Linked DNA regions of Elephas maximus indicus. The protein of the gene in region 2 interacts with the protein of the main gene of each other region in a biochemical or structural test. Links are inferred from orthologs where the notes say so. Each region holds a gene or a part of one and is shown on either strand. Other genes may lie near its edges.

Region 1 (3,746 bases), on a different chromosome or scaffold from region 2:
TCAATTCTGACTCATAGCGACCCTATAAAACAGAGTAGAAGCACCTCATAGGTTTCCAAGGGGCAGCTGGTGGATTCATTCAGCCAGCCTTTTGGTCAGCAGCTGATCTCAGCCACTCCGCCACCAGGGCTCCAAGTTAGTATTAATGAATCCCAATTTCCTACTTCTGAGGAAACATCCCCACTGCACTACAGGCATTTTGGACCTGATAATTATTTGTTGTAGGGTTGTTCAGTGCACTGTAGAATGTTCAGCAGCATCCCTGGCCTGTATCCTCTGGATGCCAGTAGCATTTCCCACCCCACCCCACACTGTAACTATCAAAAGTATCTCCAGACATTGCTAAATGTCCCCTGGAGGCAAAACCAGCCCGTAAGGAACCACTGCCACAGGACCAACTTGTTTATTACCTTCGGTTTGTTCTATTTATAATTTACTTACAAAGGTAACCATACAAGAACGGCTCAAACTTCTGGAGTTCCAGAGTAGCTAAAAAGCATTGGCTTTGCATCTGCCGTTCTGTGTTCAGAAATTTCTTGTTGTAAAACTGGATTATTCTAAGAACTAAATGAAGTAACGCATGGAAAATGCTTAACACAGCATCTGACACATAGTAAGTTGCAGCTACTATTTATCTGGTGCTAATTTTACACTTCGCTCTATGTAGAAAATATGCAGTACACCTTGCATCATCCTACAATATTCTCAAAAGAAAAACTAGGAGGTGACTTAACCACGAATAAATTATTTTTGATAAAAATTTTCATTTGCCTGAGAAATCTAGAAAGCTTTTTTTTGGATGGTTCTCTCTCTCTCAATTATAAAAGTAAACTAAAACATGGAGAAAACCAAAACCAAGCCCACTGTTGATGAGTCGATTCCAACTCACAGCAACCCAATAGAGCCCTATAACCCTGTAGTACAACTGCCCCACGGGGTTTCCAAGGAGCCTGGTGGATTCAAACCGCCAACCTTTTGGTTAGCAGCTGAGCTCTTAACCACTGCACCACCAGGACGCTGAATATCCAAAATCAAGCCTCCAAATCTGCTCTCCTGATCCCACCACCCACATGTCAATGAGGAAAGCAGGTAGGCTGGTAGTTGAAGTCCTGAAACCCAGAAATATGCAAAACTCCCCCAGAAAACACTCACTTAAAAAAATGCCGGAGATGGACTATTCAGATTTTCCTTCAAACACAATTATTTTGTCCTAGGATGCAAAATCCTAAGAGTGGTTGCTACAACTTAATTTGTCCCTAAAAAAATGCCCTCACTGCCGCCCTCCTTCAAAAATAATTGGCTCCTCTTCCTATAAAAAATATATATATATATATATATCTCACCCAAATTTTGGTATCTCCAACCTTCCAAGCACACAGGTTAGAATATTTGAGTCGTTCTACTCTGCAAAATCCCTCTGCTTCACGCAGTAACTCACCAAATTCTGTGGCTTTACCTTGGAAATGTCCCAAATCCCACCTCTGTCCATCCCATCCCCACTCTGTATCACTGCCAAGGTGATGCTCCCACAAAACAAGTCTGATTCTGTCACAGCTCAGCTCAAAGTTATCTATTTACTCCATGCCGATTATTGGAAAGTCCAAACAGATCAATACAACCTAAAGGTAGCCTTCCGACCTAAAGCTCGTTGCACTGCGACGGCAATCTAGCTTTCCAGCCTCATCTTCCTCTACTCCACTTCACCCTCAGCCCCTTTCTTTTACCACCTCCTTTTCACACTTCTGTGAGCCACTGATCCTCCAGGAGCCCTAATGTGAACGACTAGCCCAGTATGCGGTGCCAACGACGTGTAAAGTTGGCCCTGGGAACCCCGAAACACGTGCAATTAAACGTAATTCACAGTCCCGTGTGCAAAATGAGGACACTCGGAGAAAGAGCAGTTCGGAGAGGGGCCTTATACCCTCTTGAATGTGCGCTCCGAAACCAAGTGCATTCAGCACTCAGTCAAAACACGAAGCCACAACCGACAAAAAGCAGAGGAATGGGGTCGGCCTTCAGCGCCCAGAGCAGTCTGGTACCGAACCCCGACGTCCCGAATCGGAGGCGCGTAGAACCAAGAGAGGTCAGTTTCGAATCCGAACCTTGGAAACCCGAGGAGGCGTGGGGTTCCGTTAACCCTCATCTCCACGCACCTTGGAAGAGGGAACGAACTCTGGTTTCTCTTCAGCGTTTACCTCTCTGAGCCCAAACGACACCTTAAGCATCAACCCTTCCCACGCGAACCCAGTCGCAGCCCTGCCCCTCCCACCTAGCCCACCTTCCCCGCGTGCAAACTACTTCCTCATTTCCTATCTCGAGAGCTGAAGGGAACTACTCCTTCCTCCCCCTTACCTGCCGCGGGCACTCCCCTTCTTCACACCGGCTCGATCCGGACTCCTGTTCCAGTTTGAGCCCCACAACACCCACAGCAACGTTCACCTCACGTTCCCTCGGACTGCTCCTCCCCCACCAGCGGGCCCTTTCGGTGAGCAGCTTCCGGTTTCAGTCCGCGGCAAAAGAGTTCCCCTTCCTGCTGCGCGCGGGGCCTGAAAGGACGAAGCCCTGGCGGGGAAGGCTAGAAGGGTGCACTTCCGGTCGGGCTCCGCAGAGGCGTGGCTGTCCGCCCGGCTGCCGCAGCGGCAGTTTCAGCTGCGGCGACGATTAGGGGCGGGGCCGGGGACTGCAGAGCCCGCCATGTGTGAGTGGCTAGGTTTGGGGAGGCGACGTTTCTGGAAGCTGCTGGAAGGCGCTCGAGGGGCGGAGGTGACGCCGGGAGGGGGGAGGCGTGATTAAAACTAGTGCGCGGCCTGCAGCGGAGGGATTACGCTGAGGAAAGAGTCCGGTGCGCGGCTCGTCACGCGGGTGCTGGGGTTGGAGCCGACGGTCCCCAGCGCGGCCGGGGTGGTTGGGACAGGGAGGGCCCCCGAGCCGGGCGGAGGCTGCGATGGCGGGTCTCCGCAGGCCTGTCTTTGCGGCGCCGTGTGCTCCACGCCTCGGCCGCGCGAGGCAGCCCCGGTCCACCCTCCTAAAGGCTCGGTGAGATCCGAGCTGCCGCAGAGTGCGCGTTCACAAAGGGCCACCACACACGGAGCTGCCCCTGTCTCCCCACAGCCCACCTTTGCGGCCAGGGGCTTTGCGGCCAGGGTTTTGGGGGTGTTTCACCTAGCCTCCCTCCCAGATCGTCCAACGGTAAGGGGAGCAGCCGGAGCACAGGGCCTTAGCTGTCCATCACCCGTTTTCACTAGTCAGCGGCCCATCTGCCCTGCTGCGCGAATTGCAGCTGCCCTTGCCTAGTTTTAACTTCAGAGACAGGCAGTTCTCCTCTAGTTGATACGTTTAAGGTTCTGCTTTCTAGGACGGTCATGTGGCTTAAGGGGCATCGTGACTGCGTGTGCTCTTTCTGAGCCTGCATACTAAATCTTGGGGGCAGCATATTGCAGAAGTCCTTCTGAGCTCCTAGTTCTGTGTTACAGGGTAACAGCGTCGTTTCTGACCATTTCATTACACAGTAGAGTAACCACGTTGGGCATTTTGGATTATGTGTTTTAGGGGATTTTAGATTTTTCAGTGGTCTGAAGTGATTATATTTTGGAATACTGGTAATTTTGATAGGATAATACGGAGGAAACAAACCTCAGGTACCAAGAAATGCCTTAGTGGAAAAGAATTTTAGTTTTCCGTACTTCTTTGAATGCACATCATGGAGAAACCCAACATTGTTTTTTTTTCTGCAGACTGAAGATACT
Region 2 (3,746 bases):
CCCTCGGTCTCTACCCTGCTGGGGCAAGAGTTACAAAACTCTTTTAGCTCTGCTGATAAGTGTCCAGGGGCACCCCAATCTGCCAGTGAGCTTCCTGTCTGAAGGTGCTCCATTTTCTCAACCTGTGGGCTGGGAAGCCCACTGCACCATCTCCTGCCGGTTTCCTAGTTCTGCTGCCCCAGCCACCGCTTCTGTGCCACCGCTTCTCTGCCGCCATCTTCGGGTGTTACAGTGGTCTCTGTCTCCTGGATCTAGGAGGTTCTCTGTGCAAGAATCCTGGGTCCAAAGGACATGCTTTACTCCTGGCTCTTCTTTCTTGGTGGTGGTGAGAACCTGCCTTCCCACCTCTAAGAGGGCTCATTTTAAGCCTAGCAGGATGACAAAACTGGCCAATCCCCCCCTTAGGGTTTATTTGCATGGCCCCACCCCTACAAGGGTGCCCTGTGCCTTATTTACATTATTAGCAGGCTATCCAATCCCTTTGATGGGCTACAAGCATCTTATTTGTCTAGTTCCACTCAGTCATTTGGTGGGAGTTACAAAGACTATGGGTAGAAGGACCATATTAAGTAACTCACTGCACTGCACTTACATAACCTAGTACGATAATCAAAATTAGAAGACTTAACCCTGGTACAATAAAAAACTATTTAATATACAGTCAAATTTGCTGATTGTCTCAACATTGTCCTTTATAGCACCCCCCCTTCCAGCAACCAATCCAACCACTTATTGCATTTAGTTGTTGTGTCTTTGTAGTCTATGACCTGCAACAGTTTCTCATTTTTTATTTCTTTCCTGACACAGACATTTTTGGGAGAGTACAGAACAGTTATTCTGTAGCATGTCCCTCAGTTTTGGTTTGTCCGATGTTTCCTCATGATTAGATTCATTTTTTGTGCCGTTGACAGGATGGTGATGCTGCGTCTTCTCTGTGCATTACATCTGAGTCGCAAGAGGTCAGTTCGTCCTGTCTGATGTTAACGTGGACCCCTTGGTTAAGGTGGTGTCCGCAGTATCTCTCCTACAGAGATCGTATTTCCTTTTTTTACTTTTTAATAACTTGTGGCTATTTATGTGAAAGTCTTCGAATTTCCTTTCGATATTATGCGACAAAAAAGACGAGTCTTTTCTTTCAAGAAACGGATATCTATTTGTTGCTGAAAACATCCAGCAGCGTGCCTCTGGCAGCCCCAGCCTTTGTCAATAAAGTTATGAGAACAGGAGCCTTTCAGGAAAGGCGGAGAGGGGCCCGCCGCAAGGCATTAGGGGAATTGTAGTCTCTCTGGGAGTTCCCGGTTAAGCGCCGCCCTGTGGTCTCCGAGAGAATGAGCCAGAAGCCGAAATGGGAGGGCGAAGAGGGAGAGGCGGGGGGAGGGGGGGGCACTCTGGAATGCAATGAATCATGGGTGTGGTAGTTCATAGTGCCCGCTCCTGCCGCGCCTGCCTCCCCCGCGCAGGAGAACTAGACTACCCTACCCGATAGGCCACGCGCGCGGGGGATGGAGAAGCCGGCCTGGGCCTCGAACAAATCAAATCGAAGGAAAGAAACTGCCGGCTTTCAAAATCCTCCTCCTCCGCCATCATCCGCTGCCGTGTGGGGAGCAGGTGGTGTGGGAGACGTGAGTGGCTAGAAGCTGTGGGAGAGCGGACAGACGTGCGGGCTGGACATCGAGCCTCCAGGACTTAGAGACGGCGACCCCGACCTGACCTGACCCGGACCCTAAATCGCTCCCGGCCCTGCCGGGCTGAGGCGCGCGCTCGGGTCGCCCCACGCGGCGGCTCCGCCTGTTTACGGTAGGCTCGGGGCTCTTTTCCTTTCCCGTCACCTGCCTGGGATGGGAGAGGGGCGACCGGGCGACCTTGGACCTAGGCGAGGACGGTGTCCCCTCGGCCTCCTCCTTCATGCTGGCGACGGCCGAGCGCGGAGGTGAGGTGGGTGGGGTGGGGGGCGCTGGCCCCTTTCACAAAGGGGGAAACTGAGGTTCAGAGAGGACGCCCGACTCGCCCGACCGAGGCCGCCCAGCCCGCAGCTGCCAGCAGTGGCGTCGGTGGCGATCCCGGGTGGGGCTCCCGCGCTGCTCGCCTGTCACCGAAGGCCTGCTTTCACGCGTCGCTCCCCCGTCGCCGCGTCCCCATCGCCCACGGCCCGCGGAGGGCGCTGCAGCCCCCGGGGATCGGTGTGAGTCACGGCTGGCGCTTTTGGGTGAGCGATGCGTTTGCACCTGAGAAAGTCCCTGCGCTCCTGCCGAGAAGGGAGGCGGCTGTTTCCGTATTTACTGGTGGCCTTGGCTCTGCTGCTGATCCCTTGCTGACCTTGAACAAATCAATTCACCTCTGTGCTTCGATGTTTTTCGTCTTTAGAGTGGGTGGGAGGGGTCGACTGGACTGAGTGTGGGCCTCCTTCCAGCTGAGAAGATCTGTGTCCCCGTTCCACCTCGAAGCCCCACCACCAGGCTTCCAGCTTCAAATTGCCCCATCCCAGCCCTGGAAGAGGGGGTGGTGGTAATTTTTATTCAGTTTCATCCAGTCATTCTTCCAGCACTTTCTAAAGGCCAGGCCCTATACCGCAGATAGAGTGATCTGTCAAAACATACCTAAGGGCACATCATGTCCCTCATCACATCCTTCTGCTAGAAACTCCCAGTGGTTTTGTCACTTGGAGTAAGACCCACAGTCCTTAAATGGTCTTCGTGACTTGGGCCTCCTGCTCATACCTCCTTTCTCCCTCCCTCACTGCTCAGCCCCAAGGGGCTCCTCACAGTTCCCCTAACTCCCCTCTCCTTCCCCCACCAAGAGCCTTTGTGTTTGCTGTTCCCTTTACAGGAATCCCTTCCCCAGATACCTGCAGGGTGTAGTCCCTGTAGCCTTCAGATCTTATTGTCTCCTAATAATACTTTCCCTAACCGTTTTTGCTTTAACTTGCAAAAAACTCCTTACTCCCTTTCCTGTTTCTTCTTACCACTAACATACTAAATATCTTATTTAGAACATATGCTTTACAAGGGCAGGCTTTTTGTCTCTTACTGCCGTCCTCTTGGTACTTGGAACCATGTCCAACACAGAGTAAAAACAAAAAAACTGTTGCTGCAGAGTCAATTCCAACTCATGGTGACCCTGTAGGACAGAAGAAAACTGCCCCATAGGGCTCCCAAAACTGTAATCTTTACGGAAGCCAACTACCACATCCTTCACCTGTGGAGTGGCTTCGAACCAGGGGCTTCCAAAACTGTAATCTTTACGGAAGCCAACTACCACATCCTTCACCTGTGGAGTGGCTTCAAACCACTGCTGACCTTTTGGTTAGCAGCCAAGTGCTTAACCACTGCGCCACCAGGGCTCCTTTTAACACAGAGTAGTGATGCATAAACGTTTCTTGAATGAATGAGTGGATGCTTATATCCAGAATAAACCGAGCTTGCCGATAAAGACAAACAGACACAGACAAACCAGGGTAATGAGACTTCAGATCAGGAGAAGGGGGTGGGAAGCTGGCTGTTTGGAGGAGACCTGGGGGTGTGGGAGGATTGGGGAGCTCTCACAGCTGCGTCTTGAGGATGGCTGGATTGGGGGAGGAGTTCTGGGCAGGAGTCTCTCCATGGATACCTCTGAATTCTGAATCATTTATCAGCTCTCTTCCTTGGTCCCCCCTGATTACCTGCCATCTCTTCTTTGGGGAAGTGGAGTTGTCTTTTCTGCCGGTCTGCTGAGCTCCAGGCTGGAAACTCCTTTTTCTAGCAGTGCTG
Region 3 (3,746 bases), on a different chromosome or scaffold from region 2:
CCACCTAGCAGCTTTGCCAAATAAAGACCTGGTGACCTGCTTCCATAAAAAATGCAGCCAAAAAAACTCTGTGGGGCAGCTGTACTCTGTCAAATGGAGTCTCTGTGAGTCAGAATTGACTCGATGGCACCCAACAACAACAGGTGGCTGATGTCTTCAACAAGGGCAAAAGCAGCGTGAAAGAGTAGAAAAAAGGTAAAATAAAGAGATACGCAAATGAAAGTACAATGGAAGACCAGGAAGATAAGAGATTATGGATCCATCAACACGCTCCAAAACCTGAACATCCTAAAAAGGATGGTCAGTTCACACATGACCAGCCTCTACCAAAATGAGTGAAGTAAACACTAAGACCCCTTTCTACTCTGCTACTGTCTCTGCTCCCCCCATCTCTCCTTCCAAGTTGTCCAACCAAACCCAAACCCACTGCTGTCAAGTGGATTCCAACTCCTAGCAACCCTACAGAACAAAGCAGAACTGCCCCATTGGGTTTACAAGGCTGTAAATCTTTATGGAAGCAGACTGCCATAACCTTCTCCCACAGAGCATGTGGTAGGTACAAACTGCTGACCTTTCCGTTAGCAGGCCAGGACTTAAGGACCATGCCACCAGGGCTCCTTAAGTTGTTCAAAGCACCCTATCTTGTCATTTCACTCAGACCTAAGCTTAAAGAGTGGCTTCGCATGTTCCAAAGTTACTCACTTGCTAATCCATACCCCGCTGACATTCTCAGGCTCTAAACCTTCTTTTTCTTCACCTTCTTTGAAGAAAACATCTGATTAAAATAATATTCTTTGAGTGTATGACAAAGGTGACCGTAATAACAATCCTTAAGACTTTGCACCCATCTTCACTTTATTGGATGGAAAGATTAGGTAGCTGAAAGGTCATTTTCCATACCCTCTAACTTCTGCCTAGTCCAGCAGTTCTTAATATTTTGGAAGCCAGTGTCTTCTTACTGAGAACAAGACAAACAACAACGAAAAAGGCTTACGAATTTCAGAGAGTACAGAAATCCTTAAGAAGGTCCTTTGTAGACACTGCCAGCCCGGTAATACTTCTGACTATGCGGCAGTTCAAAATTACAATTAGATGTAGATACCTATTCATTCCCTCCTGAAGAATGACAAGGCTCTTAAGCTAAACTGTATCTTTAACCTCTCCAGGTCTCAGTATCCACAGGGTTGTTGGGAGCACTAAATAAGATAACATAAGCCTGGGATATAGACAGAGACTCAACTATGTTGCTATTACAATCATGATAATCCAAGAGTTCTGCTTTTCTAAAAACTCTTTTAAAATTTTTAAACAGATCTTTATCATCATAGGACCCTCCTTGCCCAAAAAAAAGGATGACTGTCCTTTTCACGTCAAAAACAAAAATGAACTGCCACTAACGTTTAGTGCTTAGTGTGTGCCAAAGGTCGCTATGAGTCAGAATCGACTCGATGGCAATGCGTTTGGTTTTGGGTTTGGTGTGCCAAAGAAAGGAGCCCAGGTAGCGCAGTGGTTAAAGAATTCAACTGCTAACCTTGCAGGGTGGGTTGTTTCAACCACCAGCAGCTCCTTGGGAGAAAGATGTGGCCATCTGCTTGCATAAAGATTACCGCTTTGGAAACGCTGCGGGGCAGCTCTACAACGTCGCCGTGAGTCGACATCAAATCCACGGCACACAACAACAGGTGCCAAGCTCTGTCTTAAATGTTTAATATGGATCATCCTATCAACGTTACAACTCCGTTTTATTAATGAGAAAACGGTTTAACTTGCCCAATTCCACAATTTAACAGCTTAAGAGCCCTGATTCAACCTCAGGCAAACCAACTCTAGATCCTCTGCACAGCCACACTTACCCTCCACGTTCGACCACTAAAGTCCTGTTGAATCCAAAATACATGGTTTATCTTAAAACAGGAAAAGTTCCCTAACAGTATGTTGTGTAAAAAGTTAAAATTTTTAAGTCACAGTAGTGACATTCTCTATGGAATCCAGAACTCCTAAGATTCCATTAAAGAACAATAAAAGCAAACGAAAGAAGCTTCTAAAGAGAGCTAGGAGTGGTGAAGGACATGATGAGAGGGACCCGGCTCTTAGAAGCACTGTGCAGGACACCTCAAAACAGGAGACCATCCCTTGTCACCTGCGCTGTGCGTCAAGCAGTCGCAAATGTAGCGGTAGCCCCTGCTCCGGCCCGAGGAAAAGCCCTCCCGGAGCTGCGTCAGTCCCCGCTGGGTCCCACCAACTTCCAGCCTGGGAGGTGCCGCCGCCTCCGCCGCGGTCGGGGAGCTAACAATCCCGGAGACTAAAGAATCCCGCCGGAGCTGGCACCGGGGCGCCAAGCGGGGGCACAGCGGCGGCGAGAGCCCACCGCGGAGCGCTGGCGGCCGAGGGAACAAGGGCCAGGGCGGGTCCGCAAGCGAGGACGCTCGGCGCCGGCCAGCAGGAAGAGGAAGCGCCGGCGCCACCGGCCGCTGCCCCGCCGCGAGGCCCCGCGCGGCCCCGGCTCCTTCGCCCCCGACACGCGCCCCCCGTCCGCCCGCACTCTCGCGAGCGCCACGCAACCCAGCGCCCGCGCGATCGGCCGCCGCCTCAACGGAACGCGCGAAGCAGCGGCGGCCGGCCGGGGGCCATGAAGCCGACGCGGGGCCGCGGGCCGCAGCCGGGCCAGGGCCAGAGGCCCACGTCTCCCCGGGGCGTCCTACCTCTCGGGGCGACGGGACAGAGCCCTGCACCGAGGCGATGTACCGCTCCACGTCAGCCTTGCTGCGCCTCATCGCGCCCCGTCCTGGCTCCCGGTGCGCGGGAGACCAGCCTCGGGGCCCGCAGCGCTCGGCCGTCTGTGGGGACGAAGCGCCCAAAAGCGCGTGACGCAGCGTCGTCGCCGGCTGAGGAGCGGCCGGACGTGCGTGCGTGTTGCATCAGCACTGTGCGCCACGCCGGCCACGGCAGCGAGGCCTCCGGCCAGCCCCGCGGACTTCCGCTTGCGCACAGCCCGCCGCGCCCGCTGGCCGCCCTCCCGCCGCGCTGGGGCTCGGCCGGGCCGCCGGGTCTCCGCACACCAGCCTACCGGAGCCAGGCTCAGATTCCGGCTTTCGGCGGCAGGGCTCTCGCCGGAGGAGGCGTGGGGAAAACTATCCAGTACCACGTATGATCCCAGGACTCTTAACTAGATCAGCAGGATGTTTTGAGTTCTTCGAAGTCTTGTTCCTACGTTCTTCGTTGTAATTACGTAATGCTGTGGAAAGAACCACCAGTCTCGCCATTTTGGTAAATTGGAACAACCATTCTGGAGGCGATTGGTTAAATATATTATTCTGATACGTGTGAATACGAAGCATACGTTTTAAAAGTCACGCTTTTATATAAAAGAGTACATTTTGAGACCTATTAACATATAGGTCAGATAGGACGATCAGAGTTTTGTTTACATATATGTTTAACAAAACTGTGATCGTCCAAAAAAAAAAAATATATGATTTTAGTAGAAGAGTAGGATAACAATCTCCGAGTGCTAGGGGTGAGGAAGGATGTGGCGAGAGGGACAGGACCCTTATAGGCACACTGTGAAAGACACCTCAAAATAGTGGGACACCTGTGTTCCCCCTATGTTTACTTCTGGATTTTGAATCTTAAAATCATACTTTTAAGACAAGGCTTAAAATGTTTTCAATGGTGAAGACATTTTTAGGTTTACAAGAGATTACATTTGTGCATACAGTGGGGTCTTAATTATGTGGGAAAATATC

Evidence for each region.
Region 1: of the proteins of RANGAP1 (region 2) and USPL1, one has a biochemical effect on the other in vitro, tested with the Homo sapiens proteins (2 studies listed by BioGRID). The link is inferred for Elephas maximus indicus from reciprocal best matches to the Homo sapiens genes RANGAP1 and USPL1.
Region 3: the proteins of RANGAP1 (region 2) and E3 SUMO-protein ligase RanBP2-like form a complex in vitro, tested with the Homo sapiens proteins (5 studies listed by BioGRID and IntAct, with this or other methods). The link is inferred for Elephas maximus indicus from reciprocal best matches to the Homo sapiens genes RANGAP1 and RANBP2.

What each region holds. Positions count from the first base shown.
Region 1 is NC_064841.1:63,260,470-63,264,215, reverse strand, and holds the start of USPL1 (SUMO-specific isopeptidase USPL1), read right to left. Parts: upstream 2,559-3,746; 5' UTR 2,353-2,558; intron 1-2,352. UniProt on the Homo sapiens protein: SUMO-specific isopeptidase involved in protein desumoylation. Specifically binds SUMO proteins with a higher affinity for SUMO2 and SUMO3 which it cleaves more efficiently. Also able to process full-length SUMO proteins to their mature forms.
Region 2 is NC_064822.1:185,455,243-185,458,988, reverse strand, and holds the start of RANGAP1 (ran GTPase-activating protein 1), read left to right. Parts: upstream 1-1,547; 5' UTR 1,548-1,797; intron 1,798-3,746. UniProt on the Homo sapiens protein: GTPase activator for RAN. Converts cytoplasmic GTP-bound RAN to GDP-bound RAN, which is essential for RAN-mediated nuclear import and export. Mediates dissociation of cargo from nuclear export complexes containing XPO1, RAN and RANBP2 after nuclear export.
Region 3 is NC_064835.1:77,083,046-77,086,791, forward strand, and holds the start of E3 SUMO-protein ligase RanBP2-like, read right to left. Parts: upstream 2,892-3,746; 5' UTR 2,775-2,891; coding exon 2,703-2,774; intron 1-2,702. UniProt on the Homo sapiens protein: E3 SUMO-protein ligase which facilitates SUMO1 and SUMO2 conjugation by UBE2I. Involved in transport factor (Ran-GTP, karyopherin)-mediated protein import via the F-G repeat-containing domain which acts as a docking site for substrates.